2 linked regions of the Struthio camelus genome follow. The protein of the gene in region 1 interacts with the protein of each later gene in a pairwise test. Links are inferred from orthologs where the notes say so. Each region holds a gene or a part of one and is shown in the gene's direction. Other genes may lie near its edges.

Region 1 (7,961 bases):
AAAAAATCCACATGCTGTCTCTGGCTGGAGAGACCCAGCTCCGTTGGCAGTGCTGCTCGGAGTAATTGTAGCTACAGATATCACCAGCTATTTAACCCTGGACCACAACTGAGCCATTGCTCCAGGCCAGCAGTAGACAAGAGAGCCAGGCAGAAAGAGCTGCTTACTTACTATTTCCCCCAGCAGAACAACGTTCTCGCCTCTCACAACAAAGATGCCTCGAGGGATGTCCCCATACTTCTTGCCCACGTGAATGCGCTCCACAGTCTGGTGCAACACCAAGTTTGCTGCAGCGATCAAGAGAAAAAGAAAACATCCATCTTTCACTTTGTTTCTAGCTAAAGAGAACATCTCATCTGAGCCAGGCAACACACCCACAGCTGAGATGGCATGGTCACTGATAAGCACCTCCACTGCTTCTTGGCAGATCCTTTGAACCAGACCATGAAAGGAACCAGATTTCTCCCCTACTGAAACGCGGCTGCTGCACTTCAGCTTTAGCAATCGACACAGCCACCTCCAGGCAGCAGCTGAAACCCCAGTTCCTTGCGCTAGGAGCTGCAGCATGGGCAGAACAGGAGCTTGAGGGCAGGGACTCCTTCTTACGGCCTGTGCACACAGGACAGAGATGGGACAAGCAAGCTCAGAACAGGGAGAAGCAGCAGCAGCAGCGTCGGAAACAGAACCAGGAAACTCAAACTGTTGATAGGGTTGCTATTCACCCAAACACCATGTGTTGACAGCATGAGAGTCAGGGCCAAGGGGAAAACGATGTTATCTTTGGTGCCGTAGATTCTGGGGCAAGGACTAAGACGTTTTATCTTAAGCACAGACATAAAACACAAAAATCCCAGGCTGTTGAGAGATACTTCTCAAATGCTGATTTCACAAGAAGAGAAGTTAGAGCATCAAATTAACATCTGACAAAATCATGAAGGAGGAAGGGAAGCAGAGGGGAGGGGAAGGGAAGGGGAGCAGAGGGGAGGGAAACAGCCACACAGCTTTTACAAGAAGTTTCAGTAAACCACCAAATCACATCTGATGTATTTGTTTAAACCGCAGTGATTGACAGAGAACAGATACTTCTCCAATTAGCAACCAAGGTTAGATGCATTATCTATAAAGCCAGAGACCTCGTAAATCTGTTTTTTGCAATAAGTTGCCTAATCCGGAAAAAAAAACCCTGCAGCTACCCTTCGCATAAACAAGAGGGGGTACATGCTCAGAAAGGATGTTTACAATGCCAGCTCCCATAGAAGAGGAACACCTAAGTGAATTTTTAAAACACAACACAAACAAGCTTTAAAGCTTGACTTTCAAATCATATCATTCTATGCACAGCAAGCACCTTTTTCATTAGAACTTAAGATTGTTTTTAGTCAAGGAAATATGTAATTCTGCTCACAACTGGCACATGCAAAAAGCATTGTCTGCCTGACCCAGACACAGCCCACGCTGCGACCAGGCTCCCAGACCGTGGGCTGATTTTACTCCTGTTTAAGTGAACAGGGAGAGCAGACCCTGAACACACAACTAATACTTGCCCTGGATCGCGCCAAGTCCAGGCTAAACTCTTCGCCTCTCCCTTGTTTCAGCCAAACACGCAAGCGTGCGGCTCCCTTGACAGCCTTCCCGATCTCACCTAGCGCCGCGCAGCCCGATTCAGAGGCCTCTGCTCTGCCACGAGGATCCTCTGGCAGGTGCCTCACCCCTGCAAAGCCCTTTCTGGTGGGGGCAAGGAGGAGGAAAAGAGTAGGGAATTTGCCAGATTTGGGCATTCGCGCAGAACCACAAACGTGCAAAAACCACTACTCTCAGGAAGAGCTGGTGCAAACGTTTCCACCTGGAGACCGGTCCCTCGAACGCTGCAAGAGGACGAGCCCAAACAGCTGCTGCAGCACGGCCGCAGGGCTGGAGACAGCGGCAGAGCTTCACTCGGGCCAGAACCAAAAAACTCCGCTTGCGTTTTCACACGGCAGCCAGCCGTATTTTCCCTGTCCTGACGCTACGCAGCGGGGGACGGGCGGAGAGGCACCACCTGCCAACGGCCCTAGCAGAGAGGCGCAGCGCGGCTGAACTTCTGCTCCGCGCACAGCCCCAGCGTTGGTGTCTCCTGCAAGTTCACCGCCGGCCCAGGACCCTGCTGTCAGCCCCACGCGTCCCCTGCCCCGTCCCCTCGCGCACCCTGCCCGCCGGGGCCTGGCTCCTCCTTGCGGCGAGCGACAAGCCAGAGCGGCAGCACAAACCACGTTCAGGGCTGCCGAGTCGCCAGTAAGGACACCCGGGTTTGATGCAGAGCGCAGACGGCGCATCGCGAGCGAGAAAACCACCTAAACGTCCCCCCCTCTGTTTTCTCTCTGTAACCCCAAACAGTGTTTTTAAAGCTCTTTCTGGAAACATATCCAAAAATCAGGAAACAGCTCGGTGCCGCGCGTGCCCCGGCTGCGGACGGACTGCTCAGAAACGGCTCCTGCCGTGGGGCAGGAGGCGCCGGCTCCTCTCCTGGCTGGCAGCAAGGTTTGAGCGCGGACCAAGCCAACCCCCCCCCCCCCCCCAACCGCCCCGCAAACGGAGCGGCGAAAGCAGCCGAGCGCGGCCGGCGACACGTACCGAACTGGTCGATGCTGCGCAGGTACCCGATCAGCGTGCGGCCGTCCCGGAGCAGCACCAGGTGCTTCTCTGAAAGAGAGCCCAGAGCCCGCTCAGCCGCGGCGGCGCTGACCGCTGCCCCAGCGGGGGGGCAGCCCCAGGGCCACCGAGCGGGGGCCCACGGGAGGGGTCTGGGGGGGGGTCACCCGACCCACGTGGGGCTCACCCACCCCATGCCAGGACCCACGGGGGGGCTCCCTAGAGGACTCAGCTGACCCACGGGGAGTCGGGGCCCACGGGGGGGTCTGGGGGACTCACCCACCCCACGCCGGGGTCCACCCGGGTCTCCTTAGAGGACTCAGCTGACCCACGGGGGGGTCTGGGGGACTCACCCACCCCACGCCGGGGCCCACCCGGGTCTCCTTAGAGGACTCAGCCGACCCACATGGGGTCGGTGCCCACGGAGGGGGTCTGGGGGGCCCACGGGGGGCTCCCTAGAGGAATCAGCCGGCCCAAGGGGGGTCGGTGCCCACGGAGGGGGTCTGGGGGGCCCACAGGGGGCTCCCTAGAGGAATCAGCCAGCCCAAGGGGGGTCGGTGCCCACGGGGGAGGGTATGGGGGGCCCACAGGGGGCTCCATAGAGGACTCAGCCAGCCCAAGGGGGTTCGGTGCCCACGGGGGGGTCTGGGGGGCCCACGGGGGGGGTCCCTAGAGGAACCAGCCAGCCCACGGGGGGTCAGTGCCCACGGGGGGGTCCGGGGAGGCCCACGGGGGGGCTCCCTAGAGGACTCAGCCGACCCACATGGGGTCGGTGCCCACGGAGGGGGTCTGGGGGGCCCACGGGGGGCTCCCTAGAGGAATCAGCCGGCCCAAGGGGGGTCGGTGCCCACGGGGGAGAGTATGGGGGGCCCACAGGGGGCTCCATAGAGGACTCAGCCAGCCCAAGGGGGGTCGGTGCCCACGGGGGGGTCTGGGGGGCCCACGGGGGGGTCCCTAGAGGAACCAGCCAGCCCACGGGGGGTCAGTGCCCACGGGGGGGTCTGGGGAGGCCCACGGGGGGGCTCCCTAGAGGACTCAGACGATCCACGTGGGGTCGGTGCCCACGGGGGGGTCTAGGGAGGCCCACGGGGGGGTCCCTAGAGGACTCAGCCGACCCACGGGGGGTCAGTGCCCACGGGGGGGGGTCTGGGGAGGCCCACGGGGGGGTCCCTAGAGGACTCAGCCGACCCACGGGGGGTCAGTGCCCACGGGGGGGGGTCTGGGGGGCCCACAGGGGGCTCCCTACAGGACTCATCCGATCCACGTGGGGTCGGTACCCACGGGGGGGGTCCCTAGAGGAACCAGCCGACCCACGTGGGGTCGGTGCCCACGGAGGGGTTCTGAGGGGGCCCACAGGGGGCTCCCTACAGGACTCATCCGATCCACGTGGGGTCGGTGCCCACGGGGGGGTCCCTAGAGGACTCAGCCGACCCACGGGGGGTCAGTGCCCACGGGGGGGGTCTGAGGAGGCCCACGGGGGGGTCCCTAGAGGACTCAGCCGACCCACGGGGGGTCAGTGCCCACGGGGGGGGTCTGAGGAGGCCCACGGGGGGGTCCCTAGAGGACTCAGCCGACCCACGGGGGGTCAGTGCCCACGGGGGGGCTCCGGGGAGGCCCACAGGAGGCTCCCTAGAGGACTCAGCCGACCCACGGGGGGTCGGTGCCCACGGCGGGGTCTGGGGGGCTCACCCGCCCCACGCCGGGGCCCACCCGCGGCTCCCCCGCCCGACACGAGGTCCCCGCCCGGGGGCTCCCGTCTCCCCCCCGCGGGGGCGGCGCGGAGGGCGGCGGCCGACACTCACTGTCGATGTCCTGGATGAGGCTGGCCGTGCCCGGCATGTAGTTCATGGTGCCGCCGCTGCCGCCGCGCCGAGCGGAAGCGCCGCCATGCGCCGCCGGAACCGCCCCGCGGCCACGCCTCCGGGCGGGGCCTCGTCGCGGCCACGCCCGCTCTTGGGCGGGGCCTCGTCGCGGCCACGCCCCCGGCCAGGCCGCCCTGCCGCGGGCGGGAGCGGGGGCGAGGGGCGCCGGTGCCTGGTGCGCCCCCCGCGGCCCCTGCCCCTTTAAGCCGCGCCGGGGGCGGCGCCGCCGCTGCCCTTGGGGCTCATCCCATTGGCTGCCGGCGGAGAGGCGGGCGGGATATCCGCGGGCGCTCGCCGCCCATTGGCGGGTGTTGCGGCCGCGCCGCGAGGCGATTGGCGCGGTAGCGGCGGCGACGTCCGGCCCGGTAGCGGCCCCAGCGGCGCCCACCATGGAGCCTCGCGGGTGCCCGCCGGGCCGCGGCGCCGCGCAGGGCCCGTCGTGGCCCCCCGGGTCCTACTGCCCGCCGGCCGCGGCGGGGGGCGGCGGCTGGGAGCGCCCGGGCGGCGCGCAGGTAACGGCGGGCGGCGGGGGCCGGGAGCCGCCGGGGAGGGTCGGCGAGGGAGAAGCGGGCGGGGGGCGAGGCAGGCGGGCGGGCGCCAGCGCTGCGAGCCAGCCACGGAGCGCCCTGTCGTCGGGGCGGTCGCCGCGCGCCAGGGCCGCCGCCGCCGCTTCTCGCCCGTGCCCCCCTTCCCGGAAGGGGCGGCCTCCCGCTCGCCGCTACAAGAAAGCGAGTCTCCTTCCTTCCGCCCTCTAGGAGCAGACACCGTACCCTGGGTACGCGCCCCGCTACTGGAGCGCGGCCGCGCAGCCTCCAACCGCCTACGCCTCCAGCCCCTGTCCCTCCGCGCCTGACGGGCAAGGCCAGGTACGGCGAGGAAAACCTTCCCCTCGTGGTTCCCTCGAAACCCGAGGTGTCTGCTGAGGCCTGGCTACGCCTGGAGGCCTGGGGCTGAGACCGGCTGAGCTGGAAGCGGGAGCCGGGACTCTCGGTTGCCTCCCACGGCAGACGTCCCAGGGCGTTTGGCTCCCTTTGCCCTTTCCCCCTTGCTCCGGGAGCTTCCAGTAATGCTCTGCACTGGCGCTTCAAAGTACTGAACGGAGGCTAGCAGCCCGCTCGGGAACGCCCTAGCAAACGGCGTGCTGCAAGCGGTGACAGCTCCCGGCCCTTCCTGCACAAAGCACTGTCAGGTCCATAGCCTGCGGACACCCATCACAGATCCCCCCCCCGTCCATAACTGGAGAAATGACCCCAAACGACTCTGAGATCTCACGGATCTCATTCTTGCCTTATGCCTAGAGGAGGGGCCTGGCAGAGAGGCGATGTGACTAGCTGGAGCTGGGAAATCCGTGGCTCTAATGCCCTGCTCGCCTTGAGTTAGCAGGGCTTGGAGCGAGAGCGTGCTTCGTTGCCGGATGGCGGCACTTCGGTCTGCTCCGCGGGTTTCTCTCCCTGTCCTCTCCCCCACGGCTACGTGCTGGTGAGATGCCTTGTCTGCCCTCAATGTTGCTGCAACTCCTGTGCTCCCTTCTGCGCGTGGGTGGCCTCTGAATCTTCTCAGCTCACAGAAATAAACAGATTCGTTCTTCTGCCATCTAGTTATGAGCAGTGTTAGGACCAACTTGAAGATTCTACCCTACCCAGAAATTACCTGTTACTTTCAAAGCATTCTTGACGCTGAATCATAATGTTATCTAGCTGTGCCAGACTGTCTGGATTTTTAAGTTCATGTCTTATGTCTTTAAGTGTAACTGTGTTTTTTTTTTTTTTTTAATGGTCTTGTAGCTTCATGTGCAAACCATTTTGCATTAAATAAGAATCTGGTCTCCCGTTCTGCTGGTTTGGGGCAGGTGTTTTTAATTGAAGAAAATGGAAGACGATGAACAGGGTAGAAAGTTTTATCTTAATATCCAGGTCAAGGTGAAATTTTTAAGTTATATATATATTTTTTTAATGAAGAGACTGCTGGGGCAACGCTGCCATCCTTGATTTGTCTGCTGCCAGGAGATGACTGGTAAGAATTGGGAATCACCATGTAATGCATACACTGGTCCCAACTAATAGATTCTTTATCGAGAAACAGAATTGTCTGTTCTCCGATGTGAATGTGGAACTCGGGAATCTAATGCCCGACACCTAAAGGCACAGCAAACTAAAGATGTCAGCTGCACAGACAGTGATATGTGTACGGTCAACCTCATCCCTGGGAAGGAATTGGCAGTCTGCAGGATGGCACGATTTACATCACGTGTCTGACCCCAGGTAGAGGGCAGGCACGAGTTAGCTGCTCCTGCTGCAGGAAGAGAGGAAGAGGAAAAAAAGCTTACATGTTCCCTTTATGTCCCGTGACTCACTCTTCCTGGGATTTATTATTTGTTGTTCTGAATGCAGCAGTAGTGTTTTTTTTTTAGGGACCATTGCACAAATATCGTGCAAAGAAAAGGGCTTTACTCTTTCCAAAGAGGTCGTCTGCTGGTTGTACAGACGTAACTATGGTTTGTTCTAATTCTATGTGACGTTTAGGTTTGCTTTAGCTGGTTTCTAAGTCCTGGAGCAGGTGATCCGGTCTCTCCTTTATGAAACAGCTCACAGGCAAAGAACTGAAGCCCAAAGCTACTAGGGAGCTGTCAGTGAGCTGCTGAAATGCTAACACTTGAGCTTCCGTCTTACCATAGCTCAGACACTTATGTTCAGTATAAATTAAGTACTCAAATATGTTCAAATAAATTACCATAAATGCTCTGGACATACAGATATTGCCTATAAAAAGTTCTCACAAATTTGACTGTTTCTACTGCGGCAGCCATATCTGCAGCTTAGTGATCCGACTGCCTTGTTCCTTAGGCTCAAGGCGAGTAGATCTAGTCATCTTGGATTGTTTCTGTTTGTAGATTGAAAAAGGAAATGAACTTCCCTGGAGCGTTTTTCATCTACCAATCAGTTTCAATCAGTGACTAAATTGACCTAGTTAAATCTAACAGCTGAAAGCTGGAGCATGGCACAGACTGAATCGGCCTGACTGAATCAGTTATGGCCTGATCCCCAAAAATGGGACGAGCAGGCCAGATGCTGCCTGCTGGAGGTCTGTGTCCTTAGTGGAGTTCTCTTTGGACTGCAAAGAGATGGGGACCAGTGCTGAGCCCTGGTGATGCCTTTGAGTAGGAGGGACAGGATGCCAGGACAGAGAACAGATGGGGAAGGCTCAGCTTGCCTTTCTTCAGCGAGAATCCGCAGCTGAAGTGGGAAAAGGCTATTGTTGGTGTTTGTTAGAGGCAAGGACAGAAGATGCACACAAAGGTATTTTGGCTGCACGTTTGTAAAGCTTTTGTGAGAGTGCTGAGAGATACCCACATTTTTTGAGAAAAGGAAGGAGGAAAATGCAAGAGGAAAATGGTCTTGTGAGCTAGCTGGTTCCCAGCAAGCCCCTGTTGATGGAGTACTGTAAATCCCTTCTCTGTGTCTGCTTTCTCGG
Region 2 (8,180 bases), on another chromosome or scaffold:
CCAGATGTTGTCATGGGAAGAAAATATCAGAATATAAATTATGCCATATACAGCACAGATGGGAGCTAGCTCTTACAGGAACTTATCTTCCATTTTAGCCCCCTCCTAACCTCCGTCTCTTGGGTCTTTGACTACTTTATGTTAGTTTGAGTCCCTGTTTCTTGAATTTCCCTGGTATCTTCCCAGTACACATATATGCCCTGGAGTGAAACAACTGGTGCAGCAAATAAACAGACTCTCAAGCCCAACTGGGGACTGGCTTGCACAAGCTCTGCCTCACAGGCTAGGCCACACAGCTGCCTGAGCCACGTGGCTTGGCAAATGCAATCCCAGCTACTAATGGCACAAACAGGCAGACATAGGTGCAGTTCCCCAGCATTTAAGCCAATCTAAGTCCACGGTGCTAGGATCCTGTCTCCTTCTTTGTGCTAATCTTCATGCTTGTGCAACTCAGGGAACAGATCCAACACCAAATAAACTACTGCTTTCTCAGATCAGCTCTATGAACTGAATCACTGTGTAGTTGTACAAGCATCTGTAGAAGCAGAAGGGCAGGGGCAGGAATGAATGGCCAGGAACAAGGTATGATATGAAATTGGGATTACCTGATCTTTAACTGCCTTTGAACTGCAGGCATCAGCTTCAAGTATCTCATTCTACAGACACCAAGAGTCTAAATGACCAGTAGTTCTCATGGATCAGAGAATAAGCGCTCACAGGAAAAATTCCACCTATGCTCTACAAAACTTCTGAGTAAAATAGCAAGCGCAAATTAGTATGAGGTAATGGATGGCATCCCCTTTCCTCTTTAGGTTAAAATCACCCTAGCAAACCTAATTCAATTTGCAAATGGAACGTATCCTCCGTTTTTCAGTGAAAACTCCAATGCACATCTTAGTCACTACAAAATTATTTGCAGGAATTTTGTTCTTCTGTTCCCTAGACAGCATGATGCTGGGAGTGCAAACTGCAGAGGACACTGACTTTCAGTGATACATTAAAAATACCACGCTGGAATCACACATACCTGCTCCATACTGCGTTCTTTTAATCTCTGGCCTTCTGGCAGTCCTCATGTTCCGACAACCATTCCAGTGATTTCTAAATTTTCTTTATTCTAGAAAGCAAATGAGTAGAACAGGATCCTACAGAAGTGAAATTCAGCACTCATGCAATTAAAAGTCAAAAGAATCAAATGTAAAACCTGCTGTTCCATGATCCGGGACATATAGTATTTTAAGACAGCTGTGGCTCCTGTTGGCATGAAATCTTTCTTGTATTTATAATCCTTTCTCCTTTCTGAGCATGTTTACAACAACCAGGTAGCTGTATCAACCCTTCTTGCAAACAGCACTGTATTTAACATCTTCCACAAGGAGTACTAAAAGTGATGAAGTGTAAGAAGGGCTCCCTCTTGACAGGCCATCACTCTTGGACTTTTTTGAATAAGTAAACTGGAGGACAGATTCCATTTGACAGGCTAGTGAGATTAGGCCTGGTTTTACAAACTGCTGAGCATGCTAAATTCTCCTTGAAATTGGAAGTACTGTGCTGTTTTGCAATCAGGCCTACTACATTTTGGAAGGAGAAGAGCAGCAAGCTCTCCTCACTTTGAACAGTGCTTTGATAAGACAGAAGCTGGAACACATCAACATGAAATTAGTCCAAAACACTTCTTAAGAGTAAGAAGAGGTCAGCCAGTTTGCTTTTTTTTTTCTTGAGCAGTGTGGGTTTACTGTTACCTAATATGCAATACTCCTAACAAGCTCCATGCTTTGTTTAAATTGTGACTTCCTTAAAGCACAGACAAGAATCATTGAGCAGGTTTTAGAATATACCACAAAACAGACACCCGTTGACTGGAGGAGTAAATTTTCCTCTACATAGACGTTAATTATCATAGTAAACCTCGATATAAGAATTTAACACACAGTACCATGGGGCCTGTACTACGGTTTCTCTCTTACACGAGGGTTAGAAAGACTAAGACTACTCCGCTTCATTTTTCTAAATACATATTTTACTCTGCTGAAGTTTGAGAGAACAAATAACGACAGTACAATTGGCTGCTGATGCATGGAGCATTTTCTTTAGAGTGCCTTACTTCAAGCTATGAGTGGATGGCTGAAAGCAAGGTCACAGCTGAGGTACAAACACTGTAAACCTGAGCTAACTGCAAAATGAATGCGTGAACTTAACTCACCGTAATGGTGAGTTTATTTTGCAATTTGGGCAGAAAAATAGCATGCACATGGTGAGTTATTGCACCCCAGCTACAAAGGAGCAGTAATTTGCTAAACCACAGTACCTAGCTTAATATAAATTAATGACAAAGACAGGAACACATTCCAACATATTAAGTTCTATCCTAATTTTTTTTTATTTAAAACATTTCTTCAATAGCTGTCCTTATCTCTTCTCAGAAAGGTTTATTGATGTGTTAACCCTCCTCTGTCACACCTGATAAACCTAGCATCCGTCTTTTCATTCCAAAATCTTCCTATATCCATCAGCTGTCAGGGCCCTGAGAGCACTTACTGGCTTTAATTGCCCTGACCAGCCTCACCTGGGGCCTCCACTCACTCCCAAGCTGGGCCCTCGTTCCCTGCTGAGCTGCATCAGAGGTGCATTTTCTCCTAACCCTGGTCCTGAGTTGCTGCTTGGATTTCCTGGATGGACCTTAGACCTGGCCTGTTGCATTGCCTTTGGCAGGACCTGTTTGCTGTCACCACCCTGCCCTCCTCACCTGCCTCTGGCGCTGTGGAATTGCACCTGTTGATGATGTTGTTTCCTGGACTGTGTTTTGGCCATGCTCTGCTCCCAGCTCACCTGCCCTTAGGGAGCAGCAAGGGTAGGACAAGGCTAGTGAGGGCTGCTGAGGCCTATTGGATTCTTAGGGCCCTGACATCGGTTTTACTCCACAACATATCTCCCAAAATCAGATACTACCTCTCTTCCTTCCCCCCCCCCCCCCCCCCCAATCCTGCTGTCAGCATTACTTGCTTTTATCAACAATAAATGAGTTTCAGTGTGGCTCATTATGTCAAATGAAAACAATAGGGGGCTAATGAGCACTGTGAATGAGCCATTAACATGGCAATTAGAAGTATCCTTAAGAGTGCTAAATCTCTTCTGCCTCTTTCTTTGTACAATCAGCAATAAATGTAGATGCAACCTCATCTATTAAATCTAATTCAAAGAATAAGTATGTTTAGATGTCTAATTTGAGTAGTTTCTGTCAAAAAATATGTTGCTTTACACTTAACGCTTCTGGTTCAGCTTGTGCAACTGGTAAAGGATTATTATGTCCTTCAGTGGCCAAGATCATGTGTTATCAGATGTGATGTCTCACTTTGAAACTACAACACTGCAGGGTTTTCATCACAAAGGGGAAACGTACCTGAGATGAGAAATTTGCTGGTGACTTCGTCTTTGCTATTGATTTAAGGTGGCTTAACACTGCACGCTGCTTTGTTCAGAAGAAACCTTCACCTCCCACCTCAGCTCCTCTCTGATTCCCTGTTCCTTAGCTCTTGGGATGGTGTCATGTTGGGAGTTGATAAGCTCTTGCCCATGGCAGCATGTTTCCTCAGTCCTTGTAACAGGTGGGAAGATCAGCCTGAAACAGCATCAGAAAAATGTGTACTTAAAGGGCAGTAGGGAGGAGTGGGAACCTTATTGTATTCAGTGATGCTGAGCACGTATCTTTCAAAAGGCAAGGGTAGGAGAGGAACACAAGTATTTAAATGACTTTCAGAATTTGCTTTTTAAAGTGAGTATTTTAAAATGACTCATATCCACAGGTGATCTGCTGACCAGCTGTGGCAGCAGTGCAGCTGGGCTCCTGGAAGGGAAGGGTATGCCCCAGTGAGGCCCATCACCAGTGGGCCACCATTACAGGTGCCATGTGGCATTGCTTCGGGCATCAGAGGTATGAAACATCCATCCTGCCTCCAAAACATGACTGACTACTCATACACTACCACCCCTTTGTGATGCTTTGGTGAGTCATGAGACTAGTGTTAAAATAAACAATATATTTGAATAAGGCCCCAGCAGTTGGTATCAAGAGATTACCTGAGAATTTCAGGGTTTTTTTTCCTAGTCCTCAGAATTACAGTGGAAATTAACAGGCCCAGACAGCATAAAGCCAAGAGAAAGCACTCTGCAAGTATTTCTTAAGGACTCCTGATACCCTGATTTTCTATGGCTTGGCTTGTGACTTTCACATGTGGCAAGGCTGTAAGGAGAAAAGCGGAATGGAAAGGAATAGGTTGAGGTGACCAGTTCAGCAAAAGCATATTGTAAAAAATAAGGCAGTTTAAGTGTCGGCAGATGATGGTGACAGGAACTCTGGTCTTTTTGCTTCTGTCCTCCCTCAGTTTCCTCGCCTTATTTTCTTGTCTCGGTCCTAGACCGCCTGCCCTAGGTACCTTTTGCTTCCTTCGCTTACAGCACGTCTCAAACGGTCCCGCGGGGACCCTGCCACTGTGCCAGCCTTCCTGGGGTTGGGCAGCTCTTGCCCCACCACCCCGAGGGGTCCCAGCTCTCCGGGCGCCAGGCAGGCTGCCGCCGGGTCCCGGCTGCCGTCGGGACTGACACCAGCACGCAGCAGGGCTTGCGTTACCCTGCTTCAACCTCAGAAACGTCTTCCTAGTGCGCAACTGCAACGGTTAAAAATAAACGAGTCAGATTTTCCTTCAGGCGAGCGAGCGGCAGCAGATTTGCCCAGGGAGCAGGGCAAGCGGGCGCGGGCCATACCCGGTACGGTTTGCGGGCCCCAGAAGCTCTACAGCCGCGTTAACCCGAGCCTCCTGGGCTAATCAGTTCTCGTGAGAAAAGACATTTAAGAAAAAGGCCATCTTGGTGTTTTCTTGCTTTAAGAAAAAAAAAAATTTGCGTTCTCGATCTTCTTTTTTTGATAAAGAACCGGCCTTAAAGAGCTGCGGCGATTTCTCCCGCGGAGGGGGCTGCTTCCTCCTCACCGCAGAGGAAACTCAGGGAAGGAAACCGAAGGAGACAAAGTAGCTAGCGAGAGGGGACAGTAGCAAGCTCCCAGTGCAGCCCGCCGCCATCGCGGGGGGGGGGGGGGGGGGGGGGAGGACGGCGCCGCCCAGGCCCCTCAGCGCGGCGGCCATTTTGTCCGCTCCGCGGCAGCGGCGGGGCGGGACCGGGCGCCCCCTGGCGGCCCCCCTCCCCCGCCGCCGCTCCCCCTGCCTCGCCGGCCGCACGGTTAGGCGCGGCGGGGCCCTGCCGCCGGCCATGAAGTCCGTGTTCGTCACCGTGGGCACCACCAGCTTCGAGGAGCTGATCGCCGCCGCCTCCTCGCCAGCCGCCGTGCGGGTGAGGCAGCGCCGAGCCCTCTGGCCTGGGCCTCCGCCCGCCGCGCCGGGCCGGGTCGGGCCGGGCCGCCGGGCGCACGCGCACTGCGGGCCCGCTCCCCCGCCCGCCCTGGGGCCGGCGACCCCGGCGGGGGGCGGGGAGGAGAGAGGCGGGATTTGGGGGGCTGTGAGGGGAGAGACGGGATTTGGGGGGGCTGTGAGGAGAGAGATGGGATTTGGGGGGCTGTGAGGCGGGATTTGGGGGGGCTGTGAGGAGAGAGATGGGATTTGGGGAGGCTGTGAGGAGAGAGGTGGGATTTGAGGGGGCTGTGAGGTGGGATTTGGGGGGGCTGTGACGCCAGGCAGGATTTGGGGGCTGTGAGGCGGGATTTGGGGCTGTGAGGCAAAGCAGGATTTGGGGGGCTGTGAGGCAAAGCAGGATTTGGGGGCTATGAGGCAAGGTGGGATTTGAGGGGGCTGTTAGGCAAAGCGGGGTTTGGGGGGGGCTATGAGGCAAGGCAAGATTTGGGGGCTGTGAAATGCAGGATTTGGGGGGCTGTGAGATGAGGCAGGATTTGGGAGGGGCTGTGAGGCAAAGCAGGATTTGGGGGCTGTGAGGTGGGATCTAGGGGGATTATGAGGCAAGGTAGGATTTAGGTCTGTGAGGCAAGGCAAGATTGGGGGGCTATGAGGCAGGATTTAGGGGGACTTGGGACTATGAGGCAAGGCGGGATTTAGGGGGGCTGTAAGGCAAGGCAGGATTTGGAGGGGCTGTGAGGCAGGGGGACTTGGGGGGGCTATAAAGCATGAGGCAGGGGGTGGCGTGTGCCCCCTGGCCATGGCAGTGGCCCTGTGCCATGGGGTACCCAGGAGCAGAGCTGGGGTCAGCCCAACCAGGTGCCCACCAGGGGCAGCCCCACCACAGGTGCTCCGCTCTGCGGCTCGCTGCTGAGCACTGTTGCCGCTCTCCCTCCTGCCGCAGGTGCTGCAGAGTCACGGGTACCGCAAGCTGGTCCTCCAAATCGGCCACGGGGTGCAGGAGCCGGCCCCGGTGAGCACCCCGGCCTTCACGCTAGAGGCCTTCCGCTTCAAGGACTCGCTGGCTGAGGACCTGCGGAGAGCAGACCTGGTCATAAGCCATGCAGGTAGAGCGCACTGGCAGCTGAGTGCCGTGCAGAGAGTTTGCCAAGCCTGTTCTCGTGTGGGTAGATGTGAAAGTCGGTAGCGTGGGCAGCTTCCGTTTCTGTAATTCTCTGACTCTGTTAGCATTAAAAGTTCAGGTCCACAGCTAGAGTTAAATGGATTAAATGCTCAGGTTCAGGAGTCTCTCATGTTGCAAGAGCCAGTAGGATGAAGTTTGATCTATAGGTGAAAGCACTGATCATGTTTTTTGTTTCTTCTGTAGGTGCAGGTAGCTGTTTGGAGACGCTAGAAGAAGGAAAACCACTAATAGTAGTAATAAACGAAAAGCTGATGAACAACCATCAGCTTGAATTGGCAAAGCAACTCCACAGAGATGGACATGTCCTCTATTGTAATTGCAGGTATGAAGCAGCTGTGGTGATCCTGACTGAACAAGAGGTATTCAGTACCGTAGCTTGGTCATTACAGTATTGAGAACGTAATAAGTAAATTCACATCCTTCTCTGTAACAAAATCACATTGACCAAATACCACAATTAACTTCCCCACCTAAGTAGTAAGGGCAGGACAGACATTTCAGGAAAGCTAGTTTTTTGTTTGTTTGCAAGGCATGTTTTTCCATAGTAGATAGATCAACAGTTGGTGCTGTCTCCACCAAATCTACCAAGCCTTTTGTCTGAGATTAATTTTAATGTAACTTTTATTTTGAGGTCACATGTTTCCAGTTTAAAAAAAATAAAAAAAGCAGTCTAAACCATGGTTGAATTTGAGTGACAGGTAACTGTCAGGTGGCATCCTAGGGGTACCTAACAACTCCTCTCTTACTCTGCCCTCCCTTTCTCACCTCTTAATTCTTTCTCAAAGCTAGAAATAATACTGCCTAGTTCCCAACCATGAACTATAAGAAATATATTGCTCCCTGCAGACTTAGTAAAATGAAAAAAACGGAGTTCTATGTGGGTTTTCTTTGTGAGGGGCACTAGAGATGACTGTATGGATACCTTCATTTTTTATTATATCTATGCGTCTCGAGTATTTAGAACAAAACATGAAAACGGCCTTACTGATTCAACTCAGGAGGCTATATAGCTCAGTAACGTGTGTGCAGTGGCCATACACAGATACCTAGCAAAAAGTAAGAACAGGAAATGGGACTCTCTTCTATGACTTTCCTTCTAATACCCTAATGCTTCAGGGTTTTCCTAAATTAGATGTTGGTTGGTTGGTTGGTTAGTAACTTTCATTACATCTGTCTTCCAAGTACTTACTCAGGCTACTCTCTTAACCAAACTTCCGGCATCCACAACATCCTTTGACAGAGTTTGACAGATCTACTGCATGCCACTTAGACAAAAAAAGGCCTTTTTGTTTGTTGATCCTGGGCCCTGTTAGTTTCATTTGATGCTCCTTTATTTCAACTGTATCTTCCCATTTCTCTTCATGAATGTGATTTATGGCACTCCATAAATAATAGATGACCTTTAAATTGAAGGTAGGGGAAATGCACCTCACATTATTTAGTCTGCATCTTGTTCCTTTGCCCTGCAAATAGGATTCTGTTTCAGAAGAGCCTTCCAAAAAGACCAGACCTTTCATTAATTTACATTAGGCCAGTTTCTTAAACTTATTTTCTCAGTGCTTCTGACCACTTCAGAGGTAGGAAGGGATTTTTATTTCTTTGTTGAACAGTATTTTAGCTTTTCAGCCTTATTTGCA

The links.
Region 2: the proteins of BAG4 (region 1) and ALG13 interact in binary tests that used the Homo sapiens proteins (3 or more experiments, as listed by UniProt). The link is inferred for Struthio camelus from reciprocal best matches to the Homo sapiens genes BAG4 and ALG13.

What each region holds. Positions count from the first base shown.
Region 1 is NC_090968.1:7,092,962-7,100,922, forward strand, and holds the start of BAG4 (BAG family molecular chaperone regulator 4), read left to right. Parts: upstream 1-4,864; 5' UTR 4,865-4,879; coding exon 4,880-5,002; intron 5,003-5,074; exon of another isoform or gene 5,075-5,245; coding exon 5,246-5,356; intron 5,357-5,767; exon of another isoform or gene 5,768-5,904; coding exon of another isoform or gene 5,905-5,969; intron 5,970-7,961. Other genes in the region: G protein-coupled receptor kinase 5-like, read right to left, coding at 2,611-2,679, 4,431-4,476. UniProt on the Homo sapiens protein: Inhibits the chaperone activity of HSP70/HSC70 by promoting substrate release. Prevents constitutive TNFRSF1A signaling. Negative regulator of PRKN translocation to damaged mitochondria.
Region 2 is NC_090952.1:8,239,426-8,247,605, reverse strand, and holds the start of ALG13 (UDP-N-acetylglucosamine transferase subunit ALG13), read left to right. Parts: upstream 1-5,149; 5' UTR 5,150-5,262; coding exon 5,263-5,343; intron 5,344-6,303; coding exon 6,304-6,466; intron 6,467-6,726; coding exon 6,727-6,865; intron 6,866-8,180. UniProt on the Homo sapiens protein: Catalytic subunit of the UDP-N-acetylglucosamine transferase complex that operates in the biosynthetic pathway of dolichol-linked oligosaccharides, the glycan precursors employed in protein asparagine (N)-glycosylation.